2 linked regions of the Rattus norvegicus genome follow. The main gene of each other region encodes a partner of the protein of the gene in region 2 in a complex. Links are inferred from orthologs where the notes say so. Each region holds a gene or a part of one and is shown on either strand. Other genes may lie near its edges. The genes, in order: Drc12 and Drc1.

Region 1 (4,606 bases), on a different chromosome or scaffold from region 2:
CCCTGGGAAGGAAAGGAACTCCCGCATTATTCTAGGGAAGGGAAGGAAGATTCTGAAGGGAGAATAAATGAAAACGTGGTGAAAAATGAGATTTCTCCGCACCCGGAAAGTGTGCACGGGGTCACTAGCTCTACGTTACAGGGGCTACAAGCATCACAAAGACAAGTAGGACTCTTTGCTCTATAAAATGTCCAGAGTGCGGGCTGGAGACATGGCTCAGCAGTTAAAAGTGAGTACTGCTTGTTCAGAGGACTTGAGTTTGGTTCCCAGCACCACACTGACGGGTAGCTCACAGAAACCTGTAACTCCAACTCCAAGGGGCCCCAGTGCTCTCCTTGTAACCCTTTTTCTTTTTCTGGCACTTTGCTCACAAACCCACACACACACACACACACACACACACACACACACACATATATATATATATATATATCAACTAAAAATAAAAAAATAAAACTCTTCTACAATATCTAAAGTGCCACGGGGTTAAAATAAGCAGGCATTGACCTGCTTGCTCTGTACAGGTGAGATTGTATAGTCCCACATCTTGTGTTTGTTCCTGCAGATTTGCTTCTGGTAATATGAAATTGGCCAAAAATTTCAGGGACTAGAATAGACAGACGTGCCTAAAAAGGATCTGTAGGGTCCATAATCCACAGGGAGGAAGGCTTGTTTAAATTCTATGTATGCTGACATTATGGCGCCCAGCGACGGCACAGTTCCAGATGGAGCGCTCCCAGCTGGAGGGGAGGCAGTAGTAAGCTACCTGTCGTCCTCTCTGCCCACAATCAATTTTTAATTATATATAAGATACTAAAAAGCACCCGCTAAAGGGAATCTCCCCCAATATCGCCCAAGAAATTACTAAACTGCAAATAGGGGATGCAGAAGGTCAAGCAGGTCCACTAGAGGGAGCCCTAACCAACTTTATGCTGCAGGGTGCCTGGGGGCTGCAGATTAAACCTCATAAAGAAATAGGGGGAGGAGGCAAGATTGACTGGGAGAGAAAAAAGGTCCTGCAAACACACCACCGAAGTCAGGAGCTACAAAACGTATACACCAAGAAATTCAAGCTGAGGGGCTGGGGATTTAGCTCAGTGGTAGAGCGCTTACCTAGGAAGCGCAAGGCCCTGGGTTCGGTCCCCAGCTCCGAAAAAAAGAACCAAAAAAAAAAAAAAAAAAAAAAGAAATTCAAGCTGAGCAAAATTAAGTAGCTGAACTCATGGACTCTGCCTAATGTGTGCTCCTCTCTCTGGGTGGGTCAACATCCTGAAGTCCATGGCTCCACATCTTGTAAGTGGAAAACTTTCAACACCTGTGCCAGAAAGTGTTTCCCTCACATATCACAGTAGCCTTTTGAAGCATGAACCTTCGTTTTCAAAGTAAATAACATCACTGTATTCTCGAGAACTCCAGATATAAAGTAGCCATCATGGCTACTGTCCCTGCCTTTCTGCTATGTCTGTAAAACACTGTTCTCCAAGACTAAATTTCTAGATTCCTAGCCTAGAGAGTCTCAGGCAGTGTAGACATGAAAAATAGCCATTCAACTCCAAAGCTTTTCTTTAGGGCTGGGACATGGACGTGAGAAGAGAAGCTTCCCTTTGGTTTAGCTCACCACCTGCCTGTTTCCCAGTTGCCCGGACAACCTGCAGTCTCCAGAAACCCAACATCCCAGTTCTTGGTCCTGCCTCTTGAGGAAGTTTTACACCCTGGATTGGCTCCCAGGACCCGGGCTCCTCCCTAGGCTCAATCTGCTTGGATCTCTCTTTACTGTCCCCATGGCATTCCCCAGGGAGACACCACACAAGCAAGAGAGAGTCTTGCAGGTAGATAGGAGGGGGGAGAAGGCATACTTTGGGGAGAGAGAAGGGACCAGGTCCAGAAGTTTCTCAAGAGGCTAACTGCTGCACATAGAATTATTCTCCCTCACTGACTCCATCCCTCCCCAAGGGTCCCAGGAGACCAAGAAGCAAAGCTTCTAGAAAGTGTAAGATACACTGGAAGACTAGAATTCTGAAGCTCCAGAGACTCCCAGCTTGGTCTAAGAGTCAGGAAAGCATGTCTGTCTGCTGATCCACATAGAAGGTCTTCCCTTCGCCAGGACAGCAGGATGCCACCTAAAACCAAAGGAAAGGGGAGAAAAGCTGCCACACGGAAGAAGAAAAAGAATTCAAGTCCTGGTGAGTCACAGTGGGTAAAGGGCAGTGTCCCTGTGTGTCCTTGTCCACAGTCCACACAAAGGTCCTCAGAGGGAATCCAGCCCATCGGGCAACAAAATGGAGTGGGTTTCTTTTGGTTTTGTCTTTTGTTCTTTTGATACAGGGTCACGATGGAACCCAGGCAAGCCTCAAACATATCCTCCTAGTCTTCCTAGTGCTGGGATTGTCTGGTGCTCCCAGTGCCTGGCACTAGGCACTGCCACCACAGTTGGCTAAAGTGAAGCCTTCTTTTAAAAAAATATTTATGGGTTGGGGATTTAGCTCAGTGGTAGAGCGCTTGCCTAGGAAGCACAAGGCCCTGGGTTCGGTCCCCAGCTCCGAAAAAAAGAACCAAAAAAAAAATATTTATTTATTTTATGTATATGAGCACACTGTAGCTGACTTCAGACACACCGGAAGAGGGCATCGGATCTCATTTCAGATGGTTGTGAGCCACCATGTGGTTGCTGGGGATTGAACTCAGGACCTCTGGAAGAGCAGTCAGTGCTCTTAACCGCTGAGCCATCTCTCCAGCTCAAGTGAAGCTTTCTTGCCCTCCTCTTCAGAGCCTTGAGTCCAGGTTCCACCAGGCTGGGGAACCGGAGAATACTTCAATCCCCCTGGAGCCCCATCTAGCTCTTTGCCTTTGTCACAGTTTTCTTTTGAGCACCCACCAAGTACAAGGCAGTGAAGCAGTGAATTTGTCCGATTTTTGCCATTGAGTATCCCTCCCTCAGTGATTTTTCCTCCATCCTGCAAGAAGCATGGAAGACGGAGCAGGATCGAGATCAAGATAGCCTAAGACTTTGTGGTCTTGCCATGACAGGTGTGGAGGCTGAGGCCAAGCACAGGCTGGTGCTGCTAGAGAAGGAGCTGCTTCAGGACCACTTAGGTAAGAAGAGTGGAGCCTCAGGAGACAGCAGAGATGATGTCCTAATCAGGGTTATCCTCCTGCTGTGAGGAAACATCACGACCAAAGCAACTTGGGAAGGAGATGGTTTATCTGGCTTGTGCTTCCAAAGCAGTTTATTATTGAAGGAAGTCAGGCCAGGAACCCAAACAGGGCAGGAACCTGGAGGCAGGAGCTGATGCAGAGGCCATGGAGGGATGCTGCTCACTGGCTTGCTCCCCGTGGTTTGCTCAGCCTGCTTTCTTATAGAACCCGGGACCACCAGCCCAGGGGCAGCACCACCCATAGTGGGCTGGACCCTCCCCATCGATCACTCATTAAGACAATACCCCATAGGCTTGTCTACAGCCAGGTCTTAGAGAAGCATTCTCCTCCCTCCTCTCTGATGACTCTAGCTTGTGTCAAGTTGACACAGAACTATTCACGCAGCCCATGGCACATGGGGCATTTCTGGGTTCTTGGAGAACTGGCAGTTTAAACTATGTCCAGGGGGTGCTAAACCAAGCCAGCCATTCTCTGTTGGCAAAGATCGTGAAGAAAGGGTAGGCAGTGAAGGTGATGAAGAAGCTGTTCTTCTCCCCTGACTCTGGGAATGTAATCACAACCCCATTCGTGAGAGCTAAGTAGTCTACCATGAAGCTAACCTGCAGCTCAGGGAAGCAAGCCATTGTTTTTTAGTAACCAGAACAGGGAGTGACTATTGACTCTGTAGGAATAGAAACTTTATGGGTTTCAAAGGGGGATGGGGGGAGAGACACGGAATAAGAGGTTGACACCTGTCAAGTTCCCAGAGAGACACATAGTTCAAGGCTGTGGTGACTGAGTCCATGGCATCCTCAGCCAGACCTGAGCATGGCTCTGAGATTATTCACAGCTCTACAGAGGGAAGAGGCTTGCCGAGCCAAGGCTTCCGAAGACAGGCTGAAACAGAGGTTACAAGGGCTGGAAGCTGAACTGGAAAGAACCCAAAGTGAAGGGCGGGCTGTATATGCAGGTATGTTTGATCAGGTAGGCAGGAAATGGGCCTGGAGGAGGACAAGCAAGAGGGTCAGGGAATCCAAGGACGGGAAATGAAGAGGAATTCCAACTGCTATACTTCCGTGCGTAGGCAGTGTCCTGAGAATCAAAGATAGATCCCTGGTAGAAGGTGGATTCCCACATTCTAGAGTGTCTAATGCGCCGTGCTTAGTGTTTGCGTGATACAAAATATAGTCACAGCCCTTATCTTCTTCATCTTTGGGAGTAAGTAGGAGGAATTGCCAGAATCCCCCCTAAATATGGGGGAAAGGGTCTTGTTTCTTATCCCCCAAATTTTCAAGGTCTCCCGAGTTTCTTGGTTCTGTTCCTCCACCGAGACTCCACTGAGACATGTAACTTTGTTTCCTTTCTTCATGCCTCCATCCCTACCTTGGTTCCTGCTGCCTACGGCTCCTACCTCAGAGATGAGCCGCCAGCGTCAAGCCCTGCAAAAGGAGCTGGGGACCCGAAGCAAGCG
Region 2 (3,806 bases):
GAAGCCCTCTGCTTCCTAGGAGATAGATAACCCTGCTCTGAGGCTATGCCCGCTGTGGATGCTGGTCCTCTCTGCTGCCTGGCGTTGGCTCCTTGTTTTAAGGATGCTTATCCACGAGGCTTCTTCCCAAAAACCAGGGTCACTGCAGGCTTGGGTGACCTTTGAAGGTCTGCAACAGAACATTGTAAACATGGACAACAATCTGCAGGATTCAGGACTCTCCCTTAAGTGCCGAGCCATCCTCCAGGTCCTAAGTGCCTGTTTATTGCCATTTGTAAATGCTATGCAGTGACAAAGTAAAACAAACTAAGAAATCCTCAGAAACGGAATCCCTTTTCTTCCTTTTTAAAAAAGACTTATTTATTTCGTGCATGTGAGTACACTGTCGCTGTCTTCAGACATACCAGAAAAGGGCATCAGATCCCATTACAGATGGTTGTGAGCCACCATGTGGTTGCTGGGATTTGAACTCAGGACCTCTGGAAGAGCAGTCAGTGCTCTTAACCGCTGAGCCATCTCCCCAGCCCTGAATCCCTTTTCTTAGGCTATTCCTTTTGTGTTTGTTGCATTGTCAGCTGTGGCAGGCACAGCCCCACTCTGGCTCAGAGGCCGCCCAGAACAGTCTCCTTTTTTTCTTCCAAGGACCCCAACTCAGATAAAACCAAAGTCAGGAGAGAATTACAGAAGGAGCTGGTGTGAGTTGGAATTGGTATTTCAAAAGATCTGAGGGCTGGCGGGATGGCTCATCGGGTAAAGACACTTTTGATCGTGACCTCTGTCCCCGGTACCCAGGAAGTAGGAGAGGCATGACTCCTCCAAGCTGAGACTTCACATGCACACCGTATGTAGCATGTCTTCCTGTCAGTGGAGGAACAAAAAGTAATGTAATTATTTTGTCAGTGTTTTGGCTTCGTACGTGTATATACCCCTTGTGCATATCTGGAACCAGATTGGTTAGGTGTCGTGAGCTGTCATGCGGGTGCTGGGAATCTAACCCAGGTCCTCTGGAAGAGCAACGGGCACTCCTGACTACCGAGCTGCCTCTCCAGCTCTACAATGTAGTTTTAGAAAAGACGTATTATTTTAGAAGATTTTTAAGGGTTGGAAAGATGGCTCAATGGTTAAGAGCTTAAGGCCAGTCAGTCAGACTGGGCTCCACAGTGAGGCCCTGTTGCAAAAAGGAAGAAAACTTCACCTCCTTAAGATTGGGCTGCCGGGCATTTTCTTAGTGACTGATGGGGGAGGGTCCAGCCCATTGTGGGTGGTTCCACCCCTGGGCTGGTAGTTCTGTAAGAAAGCAGGCTGAGTAGGCCATGGAGCAAACAAGTGAGCAGCACCCCTCCAAGGCCTCTGAATAGCTCCTGCCTCCAGGTCTTGCCCTGGTTGAATCCCTGTCCTGACTTCCTTTGCCAATGAAGACTTAGAAGCTTAAACTGATTAAACCCTTTCTCCCCCTAGTTTGCTTTTTGGACATAGTGTTTCCTCACAGCAGTAGAAACCCTAAGACGTGATGCACCTGGATTCCCTGGGGTCTATGCTGAGGCGTCTGGAAGCTACCGGCCTGGCTGCCCATTGGGAAGGTCAATTGACAGACAGTGATGGTCCATCTGTTCTGACCCGAGGGTTTTGTGCTTTCATAGCTGGCAGCTCTCAAGCTGTAGCTTTTCCAGTTGATCATTATCGCAGCCCCAGTCAGTGAGGCAGGGCCTGCCAAAGATAAGGAAGTCCATGCTGCCCTGGGCTGGTTTTAGTGTCTGTGAAAGCCCATTTACCAAGCACACATGCTCCCTTCTAGAATCCAATATGAAGCCCAAGGGCAGGATTCAGAGGAAAGTAAGGCCGGAAATGTGGCAGATGGCATCAGCCGGTGTCCACACCTGGTTCCTTTTCCTGCTCCTGCAAAAAAGGAGAGAATTTACGTCAGCTCATAATTCTCAGCAGGGTGGGAGGTGAAGGGCCTTGTACAGAGGATCCCAGCCAGGAAATGTCTTCCACAGCGGGTGCTGGGTCTTCCCATCTCAGCCACACACACAGTCCAGATCCCTGTTCCAGGTAATTTTGCATTCTGTCAAACTGACGGCTCCAACCATCAGGGGACTTGATAGCTCCCAGTCCTTTTCACCTGACTAGATTTACTCAAAGATGGCTTTGTATTCTGAGGTTCTCCATTCTCCTTTATTTGCTTCTAGTGTGGGTTTTTGTTGTTGTTTGGTTCGTTGGTTTGGTTTTTGGTTTTTTGAGATTAGGTTTCTCTCTGTAATAGCCCTGGCTGTCCTGGAACTGGCTTTGTAGACCAGGCTGGCCTGGAACTCATAGAGATCCACCTGCCTCTGCCTCCCTGGTGTTGGGGTTAAAGGCGTTGTCTAAACACAGAGTACGGCCCTCATGACCGCATTGTTTCTGCCACAGGGAAGCTCTGGGAGAGTATTTGGATGGCAAGAAGGAGAGTGAGGAGGAGCAAAGCAAGAGCTACAAACAGAAAGAAGAGAGCCGACTGGTATGAGCCGACTGGTGGCCGCGGAGTCTCTTAGCCTGGTCTTCATAGTCAGGCAGGCAGGAAGTACACCTGTGTTTCGTTCTCTAAGTGGGGCTGAACTGGAGTCTATCTTGTTTTGGGGTTCCCTAGGAGTGAGCTTTCAGACTGTGGGCTCCTGCCAGAAAAGGCAGCGCATAAATATGGGGACCCAAGAGACAGGGGCAGGAGTGCTCAGCCTCAAGACTGGCCTAGGATACAGTATGAGTTGGCCCCAAAAACAAACAAATGAGAAATTGGGTGGGGGTGACTCAGCGGCCAAAGTGCTTGTGTCAGAAGCACAGGTACTGGAGTTCCGATCCCCAAACCCATGTAAATGCAAGGTGGGCAGGGTGGCAGAGATGGGGAGTCCAAGGCAAGCTGGCTTAGAATCCACTGTGTAAGGCTGGTCGATGGTACACACCTTTAGTCCTAGTACTGGGGAGGCAGAGGCAGGCAGATCTCTGTGAGTTCAAGGCCAGCCTGGTCTACAAAGGGAGTTCAGGATAGCCAGAGCTACACAGAGTAATCCTGTCCAAAACAAAACACTGTGAAGACTAGGCTGGCCTTAAAACCATAGATCCACTTGCCCCTGCCTCTGCCACCTGAGTTCTACTATTAAAGACATAAACTACCATGCCCAGCCTTAATTTTTTTATAATTACATTTTATTTATTTTGTGTGCCCCGGGTTGTGCATGCCACATTGCATGTGGCTGTCAGAGGACAATTAGTGGCAGTTGATTCCTACAGTGTAAGCTCCCGGGGTTGAACTAAAGTCTTCAGGCTTGGCAGCAAAGGACACTTACACAGTGAGCCATCGCACAGCCCAGAATGTTCTAGCTTCACAGATTGCCATCTCTTTGTTTTCCAGAAACTGACTAAACTCCTGCTCTGTGGGACTGAGTTGGTGACAAATATTCAGGTGGCTGCAGACATAAGAGAGATCCACAGGAGGGTTGAGGAAGAGGAGACAAAGCGGCAGCGGTAAGGGATTGGCTACATTCGTGTGCTGATGTGGCCACCCTTCAGCTCTCCAAGTCCCTGGAACGAAAATTTTCCACCCTGAACGAAAAATTGTCTCATGGAATCCTCTTTCTGTTCCTTATGAATCCATAGTCCTCCTTTTCCAGTCTCCTCTCTCCCTCTCTCCTCCTCTCCCTCCTCTCCCTCCCTCTTCTCCCTCCTCTCCTTCTCTCCCTCTCCCCCTTCCTCTATCCTCTCCCTCCCTCCCTCCTCTCCTCTCCTTCTCTCCCTCCTTTCCCTTCTCTCCCTCCCTCCCTCCTCTCCTTCCT

Evidence for each region.
Region 1: Drc1 (region 2) and Drc12 share a complex: the UniProt entries of both Homo sapiens proteins name them as parts of the nexin-dynein regulatory complex. The link is inferred for Rattus norvegicus from reciprocal best matches to the Homo sapiens genes DRC1 and DRC12.

What each region holds. Positions count from the first base shown.
Region 1 is NC_086026.1:53,472,861-53,477,466, forward strand, and holds the start of Drc12 (coiled-coil domain-containing protein 153), read left to right. Parts: upstream 1-1,798; 5' UTR 1,799-2,113; coding exon 2,114-2,183; intron 2,184-3,027; coding exon 3,028-3,093; intron 3,094-3,985; coding exon 3,986-4,105; intron 4,106-4,551; coding exon 4,552-4,606. UniProt on the Homo sapiens protein: Component of the nexin-dynein regulatory complex (N-DRC), a key regulator of ciliary/flagellar motility which maintains the alignment and integrity of the distal axoneme and regulates microtubule sliding in motile axonemes.
Region 2 is NC_086024.1:31,768,962-31,772,767, reverse strand, and holds part of Drc1 (dynein regulatory complex protein 1), read left to right. Parts: intron 1-2,409; coding exon 2,410-2,497; intron 2,498-3,385; coding exon 3,386-3,498; intron 3,499-3,806. UniProt on the Homo sapiens protein: Component of the nexin-dynein regulatory complex (N-DRC) a key regulator of ciliary/flagellar motility which maintains the alignment and integrity of the distal axoneme and regulates microtubule sliding in motile axonemes.